Arabidopsis thaliana: one gene and its partners. The protein of the gene in region 4 interacts with the protein of the main gene of each other region in a pairwise test. Each region holds a gene or a part of one and is shown on either strand. Other genes may lie near its edges.

Evidence for each region.
Region 1: the proteins of HDG1 (region 4) and ATPK7 interact in a two-hybrid assay, tested with the Arabidopsis thaliana proteins (one large-scale study listed by BioGRID).
Region 2: the proteins of HDG1 (region 4) and SHN3 interact in a two-hybrid assay, tested with the Arabidopsis thaliana proteins (one large-scale study listed by BioGRID).
Region 3: the proteins of HDG1 (region 4) and AT2G44970 interact in a two-hybrid assay, tested with the Arabidopsis thaliana proteins (one large-scale study listed by BioGRID).

What each region holds. Positions count from the first base shown.
Region 1 is NC_003074.8:10,216,866-10,221,855, forward strand, and holds ATPK7 (Protein kinase superfamily protein), read right to left. Parts: upstream 3,197-4,990; 5' UTR 2,620-3,196; coding exon 1,766-2,619; intron 1,689-1,765; coding exon 806-1,688; 3' UTR 552-805; downstream 1-551. Other genes in the region: AT3G27590 (reverse transcriptase family protein), read left to right, coding at 3,550-3,594, 4,249-4,395, 4,686-4,850. UniProt on the Arabidopsis thaliana protein: Protein kinase that regulates the auxin transport activity of PIN auxin efflux facilitators by direct phosphorylation. D6PK-mediated PIN phosphorylation promotes auxin transport in the hypocotyl and this is a prerequisite for PHOT1-dependent hypocotyl bending.
Region 2 is NC_003076.8:8,818,621-8,822,585, forward strand, and holds SHN3 (Integrase-type DNA-binding superfamily protein), read left to right. Parts: upstream 1-1,837; 5' UTR 1,838-2,016; coding exon 2,017-2,096; intron 2,097-2,631; coding exon 2,632-3,121; 3' UTR 3,122-3,442; downstream 3,443-3,965.
Region 3 is NC_003071.7:18,548,271-18,553,773, forward strand, and holds AT2G44970 (alpha/beta-Hydrolases superfamily protein), read right to left. Parts: upstream 3,902-5,503; 5' UTR 3,750-3,901; coding exon 3,714-3,749; intron 3,702-3,713; exon of another isoform or gene 3,319-3,701; intron 3,237-3,318; coding exon 3,174-3,236; intron 2,939-3,173; coding exon 2,812-2,938; intron 2,638-2,811; coding exon 2,391-2,637; intron 2,226-2,390; coding exon 2,097-2,225; intron 1,986-2,096; coding exon 1,936-1,985; intron 1,851-1,935; coding exon 1,753-1,850; intron 1,673-1,752; coding exon 1,385-1,672; intron 1,203-1,384; coding exon 729-1,202; 3' UTR 543-728; downstream 1-542. Other genes in the region: ASG3 (SNF2 domain-containing protein / helicase domain-containing protein), read right to left, coding at 4,073-4,097, 4,174-4,288, 4,415-4,579, 4,660-4,805, 4,877-5,502.
Region 4 is NC_003074.8:22,628,523-22,635,716, forward strand, and holds HDG1 (homeodomain GLABROUS 1), read left to right. Parts: upstream 1-1,808; 5' UTR 1,809-2,246; coding exon 2,247-2,417; intron 2,418-2,495; coding exon 2,496-2,704; intron 2,705-2,787; coding exon 2,788-2,905; intron 2,906-2,975; coding exon 2,976-3,662; intron 3,663-3,756; coding exon 3,757-3,855; intron 3,856-3,946; coding exon 3,947-4,147; intron 4,148-4,549; coding exon 4,550-4,727; intron 4,728-4,951; coding exon 4,952-5,319; intron 5,320-5,957; coding exon 5,958-6,353; 3' UTR 6,354-6,633; downstream 6,634-7,194. Other genes in the region: FUS6 (COP9 signalosome complex subunit 1), read left to right, coding at 1-105, 197-373. UniProt on the Arabidopsis thaliana protein: Probable transcription factor. Promotes cuticle development probably by modulating the expression of the downstream genes BDG and FDH, possibly repressed in a CFL1-dependent manner.

The DNA of each region.
Region 1 (4,990 bases), about 12 Mb from region 4:
ACTCGCCCGTCCAACTGCTACGGTGACAGACGGTTACTTTAGTTAAAATTAGATAATACTCTTTTGATTGTTTTGAAGTGTTTATGCTCAACTAATTAAATTATCAATTAGGAAACACCACACGTAATTAAATTCATTTTTGCAAGTTATATTGTCTGACTTTTATTTTATATAAATTTTTAGACTATTAAAGTATTAATTACACAGATTTTTAATTAAAAAATAATGAGAATAATTATTTTGTCTTTTTTTTTTCACAAGAGGGATCATTTTTATTGAGCAAGTCAAATATTATTTTGTCTTTACATCTCTAATTTACCGTTTCTTTTAAGATTCTTTTTCTCTGCTTTTTTCTAGATCCCTTATAGGAAATTTTACTAAAGATGAACATTAATGTTTGTAAATTCTTTTACTTTTAAGATTTTTTTTTTAATTTGGTGCACTGATAGGTATTTTCTTTCGAATAACAAAAACTAAGAGAATAATCATATTTTGTGTTTTTACTCTAATTTTACCATTTTTTTAGATTCTTTTTCAATTTTCAGTAACACTAATCTGTTTAATGATTAAAAGAACACATCTATTGATGATTAAAATTTACATTTCCTTAGTTGCAAATTAAAAGACACTTGTATTGGAAAAACTAGATACAACCTCACCACAATGTGAAGAACACAACAGTCAAATATTTGGTAAGACCAAACACATCAGTAACACAAAAATCTAGACACAAACCTCAAAAGCAAACATAATACGCCGGTATCAGATTGAACCAACCAAAACTGATAGTGAAAGAAATCACAAATCAGAAGAAATCAATTTCCAAATAATTACCAGAAGGCTTCACATCCACAGTAGGAGGCTTATCATAACCAACATGTCCATGTCCTTGACTAAAACCATGACGAACACTGTGAGCTTGATCCATTGGTTTAACCGGTTGAGGAATCTGTGGTGGACTGGTGCATCTGATCAAAGCCCAATTCACACTTTGGAAAAACGGATGCTGCTTAATCTCAGTAGCTCCTCTTCTATAAGCCAACCGATGCTGAGGCTCTTTCACTAGCAATCCTCTGATCAAATCTCTAGCTGCAAAGCTCACATTTGGATGCTCGGGAAACCGCAATGGCTGTCCAACTACGTTAAAGAGTGTCGCTCTGTTATCGCCTCCTCTAAACGGTGTTATCCCAAATAGAAGCTCATAGAGGAATATCCCGAATGTCCACCAGTCAACCGCGCTTCCATGACCTTCTCCTTTGATAATCTCTGGTGCTAGGTACTCGTGTGTACCAACAAACGACATTGACCTTGCGCTAGTCGGTTCAGCTATCAGCTCAGGAAGCGGTCTGATTTGGCGGCTCATATCGTTCGACTTCTTCCTGTGCTTTCCTTTAGACAAGAACCGAGGAGTGAAACACACTGGCTGGATGCAGTCAGGCTGAACAATGCAGCTCGATTGGTCTACACATGTTGGTTGGATACAGTAGCTTGAGCTTTTGGACTCAAGCGTGATTGCTGCGAACCGAACCAACGTTGGAGAGACTGCACATCTCAAAGAGAGGTCGAAATCAGATAGCATTATATGTCCATCTTCACGAACTAAAACATTCTCAGGCTTAAGGTCTCTGTATATGATCCCAAGCATATGTAGATACTCCATAGCAAGAAGAACTTCAGCAACATAAAATCTACAAACAAGACAGCAAAAAGATCAAAACTTTCAGCTAATAACGAAAACATTAACCGTAAAGTCTCGAATTTTTACCTAGCAGCTTGCTCAGGGAAGTACTTTCCACGCTGTTTTTGTCTAAGAGAATGTAAATCACCACCAGGACAAAACTCCATAACCAAACAAGAATTCATCTCTGTTTCGAAATGTGAGTAAAGCGTAGGCAAGAAAGGATGATCTAACGATTGAAGTATCTCTTTCTCAGTCTGAGCTCTAACAAGCTTCTTCCTCGCTGCAATAGCAGCTTTCTCCATAACTTTCACAGCAAAACTCACTCCAGTTCCAATCAACTCAGCTAAGTAAACATTACCAATATCACCTCCTCCTAACTTCTTAATCAGCTTGAAATCTTTAGCCTCAAGCGACGAACCAACCCGAGAACGAACCTCCTGAATCGCAACCCAACGCTTATCGTTATTATCTCTATGTGGCTTGTAAGCTGCATTACTCAGACCACTTGAGCTACTCTCATCACTAACATCACTCCCTATACTTCCTCTGTATATCATTACACCATTCTTCTCCAAATCAATACCACCTATACCAATAGTGCTTATGCTTGCACATTCACTGAATTCTGTGTTGGTAAAGCTTTGTTTTGCTTCTGTGTAAAACGTGTTGGTTGGGCTAGAGTAAAACCTTGGCTCTGATTGTTTCTTCTTACGTATAATCGAAATTGGTGTCTCGGATTCAGCTGAAACAGAGGACACAGAACTTTCTATAACTTCAGGGGAAGTTGGTTCTGGTTCTGGGATTAATAACGTCTTCATTGATTTCTTGGTGCCTCTTGAATCGATTGAGAAAGATGTAATCGAACCTTTGGATTTAGATTGAAAGTTTCTGGATTTGGATGATGAACCAACGTAAACGACTGATGAAGAAGAATCCATTGAAGGTGTTCGACAAAATTCCTGAAAGAAAGGTTTTTAAAAGTTAACTTCAAACCCGAATAAAGAAATCGAAAAAAGTGAAACCCAGCAATGATTAGGGTTACTTAAACTCAATCAACGAATCAATTTCAAGTAACCGCCGAGACAACGTAGAGAGAAAGAAAAAGTTTCGATTTTTTTTTCCCGCAAAATTTTGAAGTTCCGGTAAAAGTTGCAGAAACATAGAGGAAGAAGAAGGAAAGAAACTATAACCTGATCATAGACAAATCAGTGGTTTATGAAAATATTTTCTTTCTCTTTGACGAGTTTTGTTAGATCCGATCCGATTAGTGTCCGAGAGAGAAGAAGAAGAAGAAGAAGATGTTTCTTTCTTTCGTATTCTTTAAATTTGCTTTCTTCAGGTGAATGAAGAAGATAAAGAGAAAGTTCGATGTTTCGTCGTTTAATGGGAAAGTTTTTTTAAGCAACTTTTTAAACTCTCGATCTTGCGATGTTCCCTCAAAAGCAAATTTAATTACTGTAATTAAGTAGGGAGCCGCATCTAAGCACTAATTAGTAAGATTATATTATACACTCGTTGTGTATGAATCTTCGTGTTATGTTTTTGTTATGTCTAGGCTATAAAGTTTGAGTATTAGTATAGATTTAGTAGTAGGTCCGTAAAAAATGATTGTAGGGTCACGTTCATTTTGGTCATATTCGACGAATCTGAAATCCAAATTTTAAAATATGAAATCGACTGATCTCTAGGCTACGAATAGAGACAGAACCGCATCATGCGGTACGGTTGTAATAGTAACAAAAAATCTATATATATTTTTTGTTATTATTAGAACTGCATCGCACTTTATGTGCAGTTAAACTGTATGTTATCATTCAGAGTTTTACTAAATGTTCTATGTTTGTGTAAATAATCCAATTTTTAGTTGAATGTGGTTTCATTTTACGGTTTTGAAAATTGTTAAGGATTTTAAAGTACAATAATAAAAAATTAGTTTGAAATTTTTATAAAACTGAGATTAGCTATTTTTTATGATGTATAATTTGTTTAAGCTAAGAAGAGAAAATTCACTCTTGGTGTTGGATTACCCTACGCATTAAACTCTTAAACTAATTATTTGTGCATGAGAAAAAAATTGTGTTCTTAAATTAAGTTAAACGAAACATAGATGAGAGGGTCATGACTCATGAAACAACTGACAAGGTTATCCATTTTCATATTTTCGTGATTTGAAAATTCTATTTCGAATCAATATCTATGCAATGAGATTATACAACATGGAATCATAATCATTAGATATTAATTGCACCAATGCAATCTTGTTGGTAGATTTTAATTAAAATATTTTTCTATCAGGAGACATGTCCTCCTAAGAATTCGAGATGGCTGGTACATTGAACCACTGATAATAAATTTATTAAAACTTAAATAACTATGCATGTTCTTCTTTATTTCTAGAAATAATTAATTTTACTGTTTAAAATGACTCCATTAGTTAAACCATTTTACGAGGATGAATCTAAAAATTATTCAACAAAAAAAAAAAACGAGAAATCATGTTAACAAAACAAAAACTGAATAGTGATTAGTAATTAATTACACTTAAAAATTGAGTTAACATAATGTAGGAAGTAGGCGGAAGTTACGACCGAGGCGCCTCAATGCCTCACATGGACGCACGTGGACTACCGGCAACAGCACGTGGACGACGGCTGTCGTCGTCCTCCGGCGTATTTTATTATTTTGCGCTTCTAATATCCTCGTCTCGGGTACAGGTGAGTATTTTAACTGAACCAAGTCAAACTAAACCGAACTAGTCTAACCCAAACCATGTCACAATCGTTGCATGTTGATGTTTGATTAATAAACTTTTTACTAAACCAAACGATGAAGTTTATTTGGAAAATTGTTTGGTATATAAGAGCACAGAAAATTACTTTTGAATGTTTAAAATCTTTGGGAATCAACTCCAACACAAACCAAAGTAAAACCAAACAAACTAAAACCTAATACGGCGTTGATCATCAAATTAGCCTTTCAAGCCTCAGTCTATCTTGTGTGGAAGGAGCGGAACCAAAGAATTCATTCCTCCTCTCAGAAAACTTCCTTAACTATTGTCAAGGAGATTAAGGTTATCTTGAAGGCGCGCCTTGATCCGTTGGCTCGTGCCCAACGGTTAGCCAGACCGGGATCGTCGGTTCTCTCAACCTGGTTTAGGTTGTTCGGGTAAGGTCTCTATCTCCTTTTTTCCTTCCTCTCTTCCTCTTTCTTTTGGGGCCTGCGTGCCTGTGTTGGGCTTTTGCCTTGTTCTGTTCAGGCCTGTGTGCCTTTTTAGCCTTTTGGCATTGTATGTTCTCTTTTAAAGGAAAT
Region 2 (3,965 bases), on a different chromosome or scaffold from region 4:
GAATTACCAATTTCTAGACCAATATTTTATTATTATTCATATAATTAAACGTTTATTGAATTATTTTAGCTCTAAAAAATATAATGAAATTTAGAATTGTTATAGAAACTTTAAATGACTCAAAACTGATCTTTGTTTTTTTGTCAACCACACATTAATTAAAAACTGATCTTTGTTAAACATCTAAATATTGAAAAACAAAAGGATTACCACCGCACCTATCCTGCATCGTCTTGTACCATTTGCATTCATCAGAGCCATTATATATTCATGTGGCTGTCACATCCTTATATACATTTCAACTTATAAATTTAATTTTGTACGTTTAGCAGATGTTGGTGAATTCATTTATTCAAGCTTAAGGTTTAACTCGTTCTTGTCTCCTTTAGGTTCATAACATTTAATGGACAACAACTACTCCAAATATCCGTGGACTTTACCACGCGACGCACCGACAATTCTCTAGCCTTTTCATTAATTGATCAGTAAAAACACTTCTATAATTTTAATTATTCTCAGAAATTTTAACCGGTAGTAACATAAACGTAGATGATCGAAAAAGATGAAATCGAGGTCTCTGTTTTGTGTCGAATTAATAGATCTATAAGAAATCAAACAATGAAAATTAAATAGATGAATGAAATATGTTTTGACGACGTTTTCACGTCACTGTTTAAGTTATCTGTTAGTAAAATTTGATAGCATTTAATTTGAATTGCTATGTAACTCGGAATAAATTCGACGGCAAGAGGTGTGGGATGTGATCAGTCTTCTAATTAAGTGTAATCTTTACAAAAAATCAGTATGAGTTAATACAGGTTTATAAATAGAAAGACATCTACAGTAAAACCTCTATAAATTAATAATGTTGGGACTGCAAAATTTTATTAATTTAGAAAGATTTTAATTTATCGATAAATTAATATTTATTAATTTATAGAGAGATTTTCGTAATTTAGTAACTTTTCAAAAATTTCTATAAAATTTTTTTCATTATAGAAAATATCTTTCAAAAATCAATTACAAGTAAATAATAATATCATGTTTAGAAAACAACACCAAAAGTTTTTGATAAAGTAAAATACTATAACTAAATTTAAATAAGAATAAATACAAATTTTAAGCAAAAAAATATTAGAATTATATTTCAAAATAATTTCTTACATATAATGTATATATAGTTGATATATTTATAAAATTATTAATTTATGATATTGATGGGACCATATATTTACATAAGATTTTTTAAAAAGTTATTATCTTATTAATTTATCGATTTGTGTCACTTTTTACACTGATCCCAACTCGGGACTGGAAGAATTTATTAATTTATAGAGGTTATTAATTTATCGAGTATTAATTTATAGAGGTTTAACTGTATATGAATAATTGAATACACATGGGACATCATTATAGTTACCTTAGTACGATTTTATGCATTTGGTTACCAAAATCCACTAGGCTTCGTAATTGGTTGTGGGTCAGTGTCCATTCGATAGTTTGCATTAGCGATAAACACTTAAAACAGTAAAACGTGATCTATTTTTAAACAATAACATTTCTTCTTATCAAATATTCACATAATTAATGAAGAAAAGAGACGAATTGATAGGCAATAAGAAATATGATCACTTGGTACCATTGTATGCATGGTATGAACTGACATCAAGTATTTGTACGTTGTAGGGTAATTATTAACATTGTAGAATGACAAGTATGATCAAATGGAAAAGGATTAGTTATATGTAGCAAAACTAGTATTTGTACTTGGACTATCTTGTCATGTAGTTTTCCTAACGCTATATATAATCCAATAACCCCATGACACGGAAGAGATAGGGGACATACAATAAATATCAGTAGAGAGGACGTGGGAAAAGCAGAGAGTTAAGTGAGTAGTTGGAGATAGAAAGATCAGAGACGAGGAATCTCTCTCCCACTCTCACTTTCTCTCCTATTCTTAGTTCGTGTCAGAAACACACAGAGAAATTAAGAACCCTAATTTAAAACAGAAGAATGGTACATTCGAAGAAGTTCCGAGGTGTCCGCCAGCGTCAGTGGGGTTCTTGGGTTTCTGAGATTCGTCATCCTCTCTTGTCAGTTCTCTCTCCCTCTCTATCTATTAATAGAGACAACAGTATAAATCTGTTTATGCAAGTCCATGCTATGAGTTAAGTTTACATTTTTGGTGTACGTGTAGGGCAGTTTTCTGATCATTGATTATATTTTCGAAGATTCATGCAAAGCTCTTATAATATCATGCATTTTTGTTTAAGTCGTTTTCCTTATTTTTTTCCAATTAAAAAACCCACGTTTATTAACATATACATATGTTGAGTATTTGTACTTTTTGTGTTGTATTTTGAAATTTTGAGTGTACATAAATTTAAATGCTTTGTCATATAATTGATACTGATGTATTTTCTATGTCTTAGTTGGATTATAGAAAATCATATAGCAAAGAATTGGGAAGGAACGAACACTACTCACTATAAACTTTCCTCAAAAAGAAAACGACCCAATTTATTATCAGTAACAATTTATAACAAATTTGTTGTGTGTTTGTTTTAGTACTTTGAAGTTTGAATAAAATGTGTGTTTTTTGCTTACGTAACTTATGTGAGCTATCAGGAAGAGAAGAGTGTGGCTAGGAACATTCGACACGGCGGAAACAGCGGCTAGAGCCTACGACCAAGCCGCGGTTCTAATGAACGGCCAGAGCGCGAAGACTAACTTCCCCGTCATCAAATCGAACGGTTCAAATTCCTTGGAGATTAACTCTGCGTTAAGGTCTCCCAAATCATTATCGGAACTATTGAACGCTAAGCTAAGGAAGAACTGTAAAGACCAGACACCGTATCTGACGTGTCTCCGCCTCGACAACGACAGCTCACACATCGGCGTCTGGCAGAAACGCGCCGGGTCAAAAACGAGTCCAAACTGGGTCAAGCTTGTTGAACTAGGTGACAAAGTTAACGCACGTCCCGGTGGTGATATTGAGACTAATAAGATGAAGGTACGAAACGAAGACGTTCAGGAAGATGATCAAATGGCGATGCAGATGATCGAGGAGTTGCTTAACTGGACCTGTCCTGGATCTGGATCCATTGCACAGGTCTAAAGGAGAATCATTGAATTATATGATCAAGATAATAATATAGTTGAGGGTTAATAATAATCGAGGGTAAGTAATTTACGTGTAGCTAATAATTAATATAATTTTCGAACATATATATGAATATATGATAGCTCTAGAAATGAGTACGTATATATACGTAAACATTTTTCCTCAAATATAGTATATGTGTTGTGATTCTAAGACTTGTAAACTGATATGGCCTACTGTTTAAAGAGTAGTTGATATTTTCTATTGAATTTGTGGACATGATATAATTACAGGAGATTAGTATAGTAGTCATTATGATACTTATGAAGGTACAAGTGGTAGGATGATAATTAATTAGTTTAATAAAGAATAATGAACATTAAATGTGAAAGAGATTTGCCACTTTTGTTAAACACATCTGCGAATCAGATTCTTGTGATTCGAATGTTAGTCCTACCTAGATTAAGAAAGGTTTTACTATTTTAACATGTTTACCTGGTTTGGGTAAAGTTCATGTCCTGTCCTATTCCGTCTTGTCCCGATCATGATAAACTTTATGAGCAATTCTTATAGAATTTTATTTTAAAATACTGATTTTTGATATTCAATTTTATTTGATTATTTTTTACTTAGGCATGTGATAAAGGCGATTTTGACTTAGTTTCACATACAAGTTTAAGTAAATTATCTTACATAACAAAAGAGATTCAAGTAAATAAATCTAAGCGGGCTAAAATTAATCAACTAGCTCAAGTTGAAACATTTTATCAAGTGAACCTCTTCCAAGTCTAGATAGCATCTCAAGTTTATATATGATATCATATCATGGACACACTTTGGATTTTGGATATTTTGTGTC
Region 3 (5,503 bases), on a different chromosome or scaffold from region 4:
TAACAGGATTAAGCCTTGTCTCACATCACCATCAGATTGAGTTTGAGGAAGCTCGAATACAAATCCCCCAAACCCAATGAGAAAACCCTAAACGATCCAAAGCTACGTGATTGCTTTAACCGAGGTAATTCCAATTGCTCCGCAGCTCTCCTTCGGAATAAAAAAAAACAAACAAAAAGAAACCCTAATCTCACAGGTCTTCCAAATTCGATCAGACTCTAATGCTATCAAACGCAAACAGACTTTGTCTGATCTTTGTGCGACTTAGATATTACAAACCGAGAACACACACAGCACTCACAGAAACAAAAACAAGAGTGAAAAGAAAGAGAGAGAGAAGAGAGAGTTGAAGTTAATTCGAGTACGATGGCGTAATTTTGTGAACATCTGGAGGGCACTTTCGGGAATTACATATTCCACTTACAGTATATAAGCATCGGCCGTCCATAGAATCTCCAACGATCCGAGCCGCACGATCACGGTTCGTTAAAGGAATAGAGAGAAAAACATAACTAATCTTCTAATAAAAATTAATCAACAATAAAAGAAAAAAAAAGAAGCAAATTAAGTAGTCTTATAAATATAAAATCTACCGTTTGTAATAATTTTTTTGTTATCGTGTGATTCAAACCTGATAGTAAATTAGTAAGAAATAAAACAAAAAGATAGAAACAAATACAGTAATTTGAAGTCTCAAGACGAAAGTAGAAATAAAACAATTTGGTTTATCAATCGATTTTTGTTGCGAGTTTTTGTTGCCTCTCTTGCTCAACTTGGACAAGCAAAGTTAAGAGCGCTTCACAAACTTGAGCAGCATCAGCTTCTAAAGGAACCTCGTTCAAGGAAGAGTACACCATCCAGGCATGGTCTAGTTTACGTTTGGGTCTAACAACCACAGAACCAGGAACCTCTGCGTCACAGCAAGTCACTAGCCCGTCACTCTTTTCACCGTATCTGACTTGAAGTAGCTGAGCGCAAGCAGCCATTGCAGCACCAAGTGGCATTACCACTGGCAGTTTTGCGGCTTGGTTTGTCAGAGGAAGTTCAGCGTGTGCTACGTGTGATAAAGTGGATAGAACCGCTGGGCTAATGCTAGCTTCTGTGCGGAATGAAACCGTGGGGAGTTCTCGGGGAAGCGGATGATTCTTCAAGAATTCTTTTCTTCTCTCGTATGTTAAATCTTCCAATGCTTGAATGTCACCCTTCACAATGTTCCAAGGAATTCATCAGAAAGATCAGCAGAGCAATAGAATCCAGAAACAAAATAAGTTTTGGTTTATCCCTAGTTTCTCGGTTCCACCTAACTAAGGATTTTAACAGGCAATCACAAGAAGCTGATATAATGCAACTGAAATGACTTTGTTAGATCAGGAATGTTGCAAACCTTTATGACTTTGGAGATTAGAATCTCCATCATCTTTCTCAAATTGACGTAATCACCTAGTTGTCCTTCACGGAGGATATCTGTAGCTATTGGGCTTCCACCATATGGACTCTGCGCCAGTACCAACCCAGCGACCTTATCCTTTAGTTCAGGCCAGTATAGTGATAAAGCAGCAGCTGCATCTATGCCTCCTTTGCTATGCCCAAGAAGTAGAACCCGCTTATTAGATCCCCAACAGAGTTCCTCTATGTATTCCTTTATCTCTCTCGCATTTTTCTCAACCGAGGACTGATATATAAACATTTCTCCATATATTAGTATGCTATACACCAAATGTAACTGTACTAAGTTGAGTTAGTTATGATTACCTCGCTGTGAATCTTCGCAATATGACACGCCAAACCCATCTTTGAGAATTTCGTTTTCGTATCCACAAAATATAGAGGTCCATGATTGCTGAAAAGACCTAAAAAAAATTCAACTAATTTTGAGAGTCCTAATATACAGTAATGTAGTTTAAGTGGCTGGCAGCAAAGAATAAGAATTGCTACCTGGAACCAATAAGTACACCACTGTATTTGGAAGCCTGTGTACACCATGCCTGGATATAAAAACCAGATCAACGCAGCCATTTAGTAAAAAACAGGATGTTAAACAGCATATTGAAAAGGCCACAAAGCACACAAAACATGCAACTACAACCAATTCATACCCGATGTCTTCCAGAATTTTATTGAACCTATCAGTTCCATCTTCAACAGGAGGCATCTCCGGGGCACGCTGTAACCATCCTATGTCATCTGCCGAGCCACGAACAGTCCTCCGTGCCCGCTCAATGAGCCTGATTGAATTAAAATAGATCAATCACCCAAATGCTGAAAACTTGACAAGAAGTAGTAGTGTATAGAGATTATTGTATTGCTTCAGTTTCACATATTCATAGTATTAAGATTTTACATATCTACTAGTATGGGGAATTTGTATCTGTAATACAAAGTACACGTACCCTTGGAACATTGAAATTCCATTTAAATTTAACCGATTCGAAGTCACTATTGCATTTGTTGCCTGTGGCAGAATCTCTGTAGATTCCCTCGACGGGCTGTTGGCATCAGATGTAGATGCCTCTGAAGAAGTTGAAAACCTTTCACCAGGCGAAATGCATACACTCACTGGGGAATTCCCGTCAACTCCGGAAGTTGATCGTAACAACTCATGGGGGTGGGAAATAGTATCCTTGCCACCATATTCTACTGAAGAAAGCATTGAAAGAACAGATGCTAAGCAAAGCCTGAATTATGTTACGGTGACGATAAGATCCTAACACCATAAATATCTGCTAAGCATATTTTCCATAAGTAAAGCCTAGCATATGAACGTGGAATTGCATACTGAGTACGACATCAACAGATAGAAAGAAAGGGTACCTGAATAGTCAGAAAAACAGCTCCCTAAGTAAGACGTTGCTTGAGTTATATAAGAAGCAGCTTCATTAAGAGCTGGTAAAGAATTAAACACTTGTGGTGCAACCGCATTGTCCCCATTACCACCGCCCTGGCCATGGAAAAATTACTGATATTAGAATGGTAGTCTCAATGCATAAAGAACCAAAAATTACGAATATCCTCTTTAACCCCATTTTAATCAACTTATATGTTTCCGTTGATATAGAAACCAAGAGAACGTTAAGTTGACTCCAAACAGAATTCCATTAAGATGAGAGCATAAAGCAAGTATAGTTTCTGAAAGTATTATCTAAAAAGTGAGAAAAGGAAGCCACAATACTTACAACAAGAGGCGTGACAGATTCTCCGTCTCTGGATTGACCAGCTTCTCCCATTTTGATCAATTTCTAACAACATAAACAAACACACAATCAAATATAAAATCCTTCATATATTCATGCCAATGAACAACAAGTAAAGAAGAATTACAAAGACTAAGCCTATGAAATGATAGCTTTTCCAAATAGCAATTTCAAAATTTTAAGCTTCCATGTTTCTTCTAAAAATTTCGGAAAGCACCGATTTTAAACTGATTAACGAAGGTTGCTTAACATGTCAAAATACCAAATCCATAAAAAATAGAAAAGAAGACGTGAAAAAAAGAAATCCAGCGGGAAGAGTCTCGAATCCGGTTAATGAAACGGCAAACAACATTAGGAATTGATAACATGCAAGTGAAAACACAGACGCTCTCAATTTTTGCATTGATGACAAATAAACAACAAAGTTGATGACCGGATCCAAAAATCGGCAACAAGTTTGGGAAGAACGGATTGAGGAAGAAGAATCAACTAATCAGAATTCGGGAAACGTAGAAAAGGTACCTGGAGCTTTAGGAATGTGGGATCAAAACGAAACATAGACACAAGGAGACAGTTTCTTCAACGATTCGGATCATATTGTCCTAAGCCGCGGGGAAAAGAAACCTCGTGAAGAAAATAGAAACGCGATTTCAATTTTGACGACCAACGTGGAACCAGAGGCACTAGAGACGCAACACGTGTAAATTGGCTCAGTGATCAAGATTGAATTATAAGATTAGGCTATTATTTAATTATACATTAATATGGGCCACTACTGGGCCCAATTACAAGTCTTCCTTCTACATACAAACGACACCGTTACATGTACAACCAAAAGCAAATTATATTACAGCGTCAAAAAGACTATCCCATTGTGTGATTCAGGGAGATCGACGATAATAGTACCTACAAGAAAGCAACAAAAATGAGTTTGCTTTGGATTATTCAAAAGAAAGAAGACGGGCGACACATATAAACTTACACGAATATTTTGACGGTGAAGATGGAGGAGTATTTTCGAAGAAGACGCTCAACAGTGTACCATTGAGATCGGTCTGATCCGTCTTGGTAACCAATACGTGGCATGTGGAGTGAGGCTTTTTGAGGAGAGAACATTACCATACCAGAAATGACAACACAAGTGTTAAGCTCTTTGGGAGCACTTTTGTTTATAATTCCAAATATGATGAAACTTTAAAGAAAGAAAGTAATTAAGTTCGTACCTGATTTCTGAGAAGCAGAGAATGAAGCTTTGGCTAAGCAACTTTCAAGGTCTGGAATTGAAATGCTACTACGTGGGACTTTACGCCTCGAATTGTAAGATTGTGTAACTGCAACTGCCACCCAAAGAGGCTTGCTTGCTTGTGTGTTTTGTTGGTCATCATTGTCTACACAACACAAAATACATGAGAACTCTTTGATGTTGTTAGAAAATGAAAGGAAGATAGAAAAAAAAAAAGTTGCAGACCATCAATTTTTATGAGATGCAGGTCTCCAAGATGAAGGTCTTTAAACTCGGATGCTCGGTGATAAGCAGTGGGTACAGTATTAGACAGTTTTGACAGAGCATCAAACATTCCACCACGTCCCCAGTTTCCAGAGTCATCAACACAGCTGCCATAAAATCAATATTTGGAAGTTTTAGAGGTTTGGTTTTTAGATGAACAATTGAAATGAAGTTTTACCTGAATATGATTGCTGGCTCATGAGAGACAGTTGATGGATTTGTACAGTCTCCAAAGACAAAGTTAACAGATCCTGCATCTGAGCTGGAATCAACATCATCAGGCAAAATCGGTTCTTCCACGGACAAAGACTGATAACCGTGTGCTCCCCACGTGGCTAACTTCTTCTCTTCTGCCTTTTTCCTGGCAGCCTCAATTCTCAGATTTCTTTCCTCAGATAAGTTCTTTCTATTTCCCAACTCAATAATTTTTTCATCCTTGCTTGATCGTGCAGCTTCCTTCAATTTCTCAACCCATGAAAGGTAAGAAGCTTCATCAAGCTCGGAATCCAGACTTGCAGATGATGTATTTCCTAGCAAAGTGTCGCTCGAATTAATTTCAAACCTTCTTTCTTCCTTGTCTGGTTCAACGTTTTGACGTATTGCAACAACTTTCTCAGCAAGAGAACTTATTTCTACCATTTTCAGGTTATCAGACTCTTCATTGTGAATCTCCTCGGGATCAAACCTTTGTAAACCAAACACTAGAGACCGCAAATCACCACCATCTTCTTCTTTCTCTTCCATGTTATCTCCCACAACATTATGACTAAGCTGCAACTTTCTCTCTGCCCTCCTCAAAATAACC
Region 4 (7,194 bases):
CCATTTGTCTCTGTTGATTTGAGCAGGATGGCCGATGCATTCAAGACTAGCGTCTCTGGTCTAGAGAAAGAACTTGAAGCCTTGATCACAGACAACCAGATTCAGGTCCGTAGTGTTTCCCGAAATAACTTTGTTTTATGTTACTGTCATTTTAAAAACCTTAATAGAGGCAAAATCTTTTTTCCATCCCGGACAGGCAAGGATTGATTCACACAACAAAATCCTCTATGCAAGACACGCGGATCAGAGGAATGCAACTTTCCAAAAGGTACTTCAGATGGGAAACGAATTCGATAGAGATGTCAGGGCGATGCTGTTAAGAGCCAACCTCCTGAAACATGAGTATCATGCCAGATCGGCAAGGAAACTTTGATGACATCTGCTTTGCTAAACTGAGAGGTAATGGCCTATTCCAAGATCATAAGATATCTGTTAAAATTTAATTTGGTTTAGTTACTGGTTAGCTTTCTATCTGACCTTCTCTGTTCTCTAGTTATCGCTTTGTTTTGTCAACTTTTAGTTTAAGATTCTTTGAATTATCTATGGACTTTGAATGAAATCCCGAGTGTGAATCTATAGACGCATGAATCACACTGAAAGTGAAATGGTCAAAGAGTACAGACATAAGTACACACACTTGGTTTCATGGGCCGATATGATTTATGATCTTTGTATGCATGTGGGTGGTGGGATCAAAAATCTCATCTCCCAACTAATATCCATTTCATTTTGTCAACTAAACGTCGTATATTATATGATAGTTTGTGGCTTTGTGCACAGTTGTCACTCTATAGTTGAAGACTTTTTTTTTTCTTATCTACAAGAAATAATAATCAAAACGGTTAGGTCTTTTTTTTATAAGTAGAATCTCGAAAATTGCAAAACCAAGATTTGATGTCGGCAAACGCATCATGTAGACTAAGTGTGAACTTTTGATTTTCTTGTGTCAAAGAACTTTTGATATTAATCACTCGATAGCTACGTTTCATCATTATTAGTTTCTTCTATAGAATTTTTATCACTGAATGGGATAGTTCACATTATCTGGTACTATTATTTTTACTATTGCAAGTAGTTCTTTTCTATGCATTTCTTTGAAGTTGTTCTCTTTGTAGTTTGAGGTATCTTATATATATATATTTCTATATGTTTGTGTTTGCCAGGAATATTCAAGGGTGTTTTTTCAAGATTCGAACCAAACGAGAAATTGGGCAAGATTACTTTTTTGTAAGAACCAAGTGTTTCAATGAGTCGATGACATTTAGAGTAAGTAAAGGTTTTATTCTAAGATGGACAGTCCATTATTAATCAACTATTGAATGATATTGCCTTTTAAATGAGTCTTAGGTAGCATCGCAATAACTCCATGTTTACTCAAAACTCACAAACCATGAAGTTAAGAATCCGCCAAATTTGGAAGATGGGCCAACTCTAAATTTACTCACCCCAATACTCCATTTATTTTGGGTTGCATTGATGAAAGTAATTTGTATAATTGATAGGTTGTGTATCAAAAACCGGATCTCATTATTTGTGATCTTTGCATTAGTTATTTTTGGAGACTAATAACCATCTTTCTAAACTGTGAGTAATACAAATATAAACAACTTCTTGTTCGCTATGGAAAATAAAACATAACTCTTTAGGTACGATTCACGATGCAAAAACAATAGTCATCGTGAATAAACATGTCCGAAATACATGAATTAACAAATGAAACGCTCAACAAATGAATTGACAAATGAAACGCTCAACAAACGAAGAATCTCACATCCCATGATGAAATTGGGATTTACAAATAAAAAGTAGCACAAGAAGAAGGGGGTAGAACAGTAATTTTAAAAGAAAGACAGCGTTGATTCACCACTTGAAGTGGACTTTTATAGCAAAAAGAGTTGAGTAACGTCAAAAGAGTCAAACCCAACTTTTCAAAGGTTGTGTAAGGCTTTCCATGACTCCACATCTTCTTCTTTTCCCTTTTTATCCTTTTCTCTTCTCTCTCTTTTATTTTTTCTTTTGAAGTAAATTAATTTCACGAAACAAATCAGAGAACCTTTTATATCTTCCTTTTTCGTCGTTACTATCGTCCTTTACCTTTTTCATTTACTGTTCTCTCTCTCTCTCTATCTCTATCTCTATCTTCTATTCATGGACATGCACCGAAGCGACAAAGCTTAGGGCTTTTCTCTCATCCATGGCGGATTTCTTCTATCTTCATTAAATATTTCCCTCTTTATTAAAATCTCATGAATTTCAACGGTTTTCTCGACGACGGTGCTGGAGCCTCAAAGCTACTCTCTGATGCTCCGTACAACAACCACTTCTCTTTCTCCGCCGTAGACACCATGCTCGGAAGCGCCGCCATTGCTCCTTCTCAGTCTCTTCCTTTCTCTTCTTCAGGCCTCTCTCTCGGACTCGTAAGCTCACTATCTCCTCTTTTAATCTTCGATTTCTTCTTCTTCTACTACTTATGATAATCTCTGTAAATTTGGCAGCAAACAAATGGAGAAATGAGTAGAAACGGAGAGATTATGGAGTCAAACGTAAGTCGTAAGAGTAGTAGAGGAGAAGATGTAGAAAGCAGATCTGAAAGTGATAACGCTGAAGCTGTCTCCGGTGACGATTTAGATACCTCCGATAGACCTTTAAAGAAGAAGAAACGTTACCATCGTCACACTCCTAAACAAATTCAAGACCTCGAATCGTAAACTCACTATACACAAAATCTCCATTTACACTTCTACGAATCGTTTTGATTTTTGATTTTGATGAATCCTCCATTTTTAGGGTTTTTAAAGAGTGTGCACATCCAGACGAGAAGCAACGTCTTGATCTTAGCCGTCGACTTAACTTAGATCCTCGTCAAGTCAAGTTCTGGTTCCAGAATCGTCGTACTCAGATGAAGGTTTTTAGCTTCGAATCGCTAATCTTTGTTTTCTGGTTTCTTTGTTTTGATTTTTGATTTGTTTTTACAGACTCAAATCGAACGACATGAGAATGCTTTGTTGAGGCAAGAGAACGATAAGCTTCGAGCTGAGAATATGTCTGTACGCGAAGCTATGAGAAACCCTATGTGTGGTAATTGCGGCGGACCTGCCGTTATCGGTGAGATCTCAATGGAAGAGCAACATCTGAGAATTGAAAACTCTCGTCTCAAAGATGAGTTAGACCGAGTCTGTGCCTTAACCGGTAAGTTTCTTGGCCGGTCTAATGGTTCACATCATATACCGGACTCAGCACTTGTTCTCGGCGTTGGTGTTGGTTCTGGTGGATGTAATGTTGGTGGTGGTTTCACTCTCTCTTCTCCGCTGTTGCCTCAAGCTTCTCCTAGATTTGAGATTTCTAATGGAACCGGTTCTGGTTTGGTGGCTACGGTTAACCGTCAACAACCGGTTAGTGTTAGTGATTTTGATCAGAGATCGAGGTATTTGGATTTAGCTCTTGCGGCTATGGATGAGCTTGTGAAGATGGCTCAGACACGTGAGCCGCTCTGGGTTCGAAGCTCGGATTCTGGTTTTGAAGTGCTGAACCAGGAAGAGTACGACACAAGTTTCTCTCGGTGTGTTGGACCAAAACAAGATGGGTTTGTCTCAGAAGCTTCTAAAGAAGCTGGAACTGTTATCATCAATAGCTTAGCGCTCGTTGAAACCTTAATGGACTCGGTGAGTAGTTACTAAAACACTTAATTTTAGTAATGAGCTTAATCCAGCAAAAGTTCTAGAAAGTACTAATCTTTTGATACAATGTTTTTTATAGGAACGGTGGGCGGAAATGTTTCCTAGTATGGTCTCAAGAACTTCAACCACAGAGATTATCTCTAGTGGCATGGGAGGGCGAAATGGTGCACTTCACCTGGTATGTAATTATGCGTTTAACATTTAATTAACACATATAAAATCTTAATTCAACAAATGGGTCTTTTAATGTTTTGTTTTTGGTTAATTAGATGCACGCAGAGCTTCAACTGCTGTCTCCACTCGTGCCGGTTAGACAAGTGTCGTTCTTGCGGTTCTGTAAACAGCACGCGGAAGGTGTTTGGGCAGTCGTGGATGTCTCAATTGATTCCATTAGAGAAGGTTCTTCTTCGAGCTGTAGAAGATTACCATCCGGTTGCCTCGTACAAGACATGGCCAATGGCTACTCAAAGGTAAAATTATTCTTTCTGGGTGATGATTATTTGTAATAGTAGTATACTGTATAGTTTTAACTTTTCACCTTTAGGAGTTACCCTAGTGTTGGTTGGTTCACATTTCTCTAGGAACCACAGGCAAGCTCTTTGTTTTTGTCCGAGAAATTATGATAAAGGTTTCTTATGCATTGGGTTTATAACTTTAAATTAACTTATGCATTGGAGTAGGATTATTTTATTGATCAGAAGCATCTAAATATCTCCGAGTTCTGTGCCCTTGGATCGTGCATTAATTTTTATCATTACACGTTCATAGAAGTTTTTCTCTTTGATTATCATTAATTATGTGTTAAAGCTGACATTAGACCTAAAAAAACGATTGTGATAAACCTAACGCAAAATAGTTTAAGAAATTTGCAGGTAACATGGATCGAGCACACGGAGTATGACGAAAACCACATCCACCGTTTATACCGCCCATTACTCAGGTGCGGTCTAGCGTTTGGTGCGCATCGATGGATGGCTGCATTACAACGTCAATGCGAATGCCTCACGATTCTCATGTCCTCCACTGTTTCCACTTCCACTAATCCATCCCGTAAGCTCCCTCAAACGCTGCGTTTCTGATTTATTTTGTAGAAATATATATTTGTTTGTTGTTGTTGACGTGATTCATATCTTATCCTACCAGAATAAATAAGATTTAATAAATAGTATGAACTGTTGACTGAGTCACAAAGAAAAAGATGATAGCTGTTGATTCTGTAATTATCAAACTATATAGTTTAATTAATCTTTTTTTGGTTATATTAATGGGCACAGCTATAAACTGCAATGGGAGAAAAAGCATGCTAAAGCTAGCGAAGAGGATGACTGATAATTTCTGTGGAGGGGTTTGTGCTTCGTCGTTACAGAAATGGAGCAAACTCAACGTTGGCAACGTCGACGAAGACGTTAGGATAATGACTAGGAAGAGTGTAAACAATCCTGGCGAGCCGCCTGGGATAATTCTAAATGCGGCGACGTCAGTTTGGATGCCGGTATCTCCGAGGCGGTTGTTTGACTTCCTTGGAAACGAACGGCTTAGATCGGAATGGGATATCTTATCCAACGGTGGACCAATGAAAGAGATGGCCCATATAGCTAAAGGCCATGACCGTTCCAACTCCGTCTCCCTCCTCCGTGCCAGCGTAAGCATTCATATTTATTACACTTTCTATTTGCATGCGTAAGTAGCTAAGCTAATCTCCAAATTTTAGTTTAGGTTTTGGTGAATTTAGTATTTTATAAACATTAGATGGTTTTGGAAAACTTGAAATTTTAGTCGGTTTAGTTTTTTGTTTACGGTTTTCAACTTTTTCTGATTTTTTTGGGTTGGTTTTAGATAAATTAAAGTTAAACCGACTTGTGTGGACATTGAATATTTGATCTATAAACAGTGTATGAAAGGACTTTGTTGTGTTGTGTGACCCCAGGATGGTGTTGTCATATGAATCTTGTCGCGTGTGATTGGAAAGTGACAAATCTAGAATTTGGAAGTATTGTGTGATAAAAGTCAATAGTAATAAGACATTTTTGACCTTTTTCTTTCCTTTTTGGCTCCGACGTTTTGAAAAATCCTCTGTTTTTTTCTCTCTTTATTTCTGCATTATTGGTGTCTTTTCTCCGTTGTACCCCTTGAGCTTTTTCTGGCTTGTGACGGTGACACTGTAAAAGTCTCCTCGTTCATCATCTTTTAATTTATTGTTTCCCCTTTTGGGATTTATAATTTTCTCTTCTACCACCAAAGTTTCCATTTATTTAATTTTGTTTTGATTTTTTCATGCAGGCGATAAATGCGAATCAGAGTAGTATGCTGATATTACAAGAGACAAGCATAGACGCTGCAGGAGCGGTTGTCGTGTACGCGCCTGTTGATATCCCAGCAATGCAAGCTGTGATGAACGGTGGAGATTCTGCTTACGTGGCACTCCTTCCTTCAGGATTCGCCATTCTCCCTAACGGTCAGGCTGGTACGCAACGCTGCGCCGCAGAGGAACGTAACAGTATTGGTAACGGTGGGTGCATGGAGGAAGGAGGGTCGTTACTAACGGTGGCGTTTCAGATACTGGTGAATAGTTTGCCTACGGCTAAGCTAACGGTGGAATCTGTGGAGACGGTTAATAATTTGATATCGTGCACCGTTCAGAAGATTAAAGCTGCTCTTCATTGTGATAGCACCTGATCATCGAGATCAGACGATGGAGGAGATTGAGTCAAGAACGAACCTCATTTTGTGATGAATCCGTTTTTGTGATGGTTCGGGTATTGACTCGATGAAATTTAAAAAAAAAAAAAAAACAAAGAATGTTGTAATTTGGATCGGTTTTATTTTGGATCATGTCGATGAAATGTAATTGTTTCTTGTTTCTCTTCTTGTAATGACTCGATAATATCGGGACAGCATTATATGAAACACACAAGTTTTTTTTAGGGGAGCTCAAATAATTAGTTATAAGCAAAAACGTATTATCATTTTTTTGGTTATAAATCAAGGCAACCAGAAGCACAATCCGTGTTTACTTTTGTGGTAGTTTATAATGTGAAAGGATTGGTTTGGACCGTGTCCTTTATTTAATGTTGTTCCAAGTTTACAGTACTTTTCTCAATAAGATGGAAAAGGAACGAACGAAGAAGAGTGAAACACGTGAGTGCATGAATTTAGTTGCAATCCCTTATAGTTATTATATCCATGCAATGTAGACAACTACAACGAAAGGCTAATTGATTAGGTTGGTTTAGAGATTGTTTGATAATGCTAGCCTAGATCCAAAGGTCACATCAGAAGAGACCACAGGCTACTAATGGGCTTTTATCTAAAGCCTGTCATTAACTACTCTATTATGGCTACCAAGTAAGTCTTCTCAAAGTGTATTGGGCCAATCATTAACTAATTTATTGGGCTAGATTTTAAGTCCATTGGAGTATATACTATTATTACAAACGACAATAATATTATTATTACAAACGGGCCGAAAGAAAAGAGTCAAAAGGAAGAGTCAAACTTCCGAATAATCCGCGCGCTT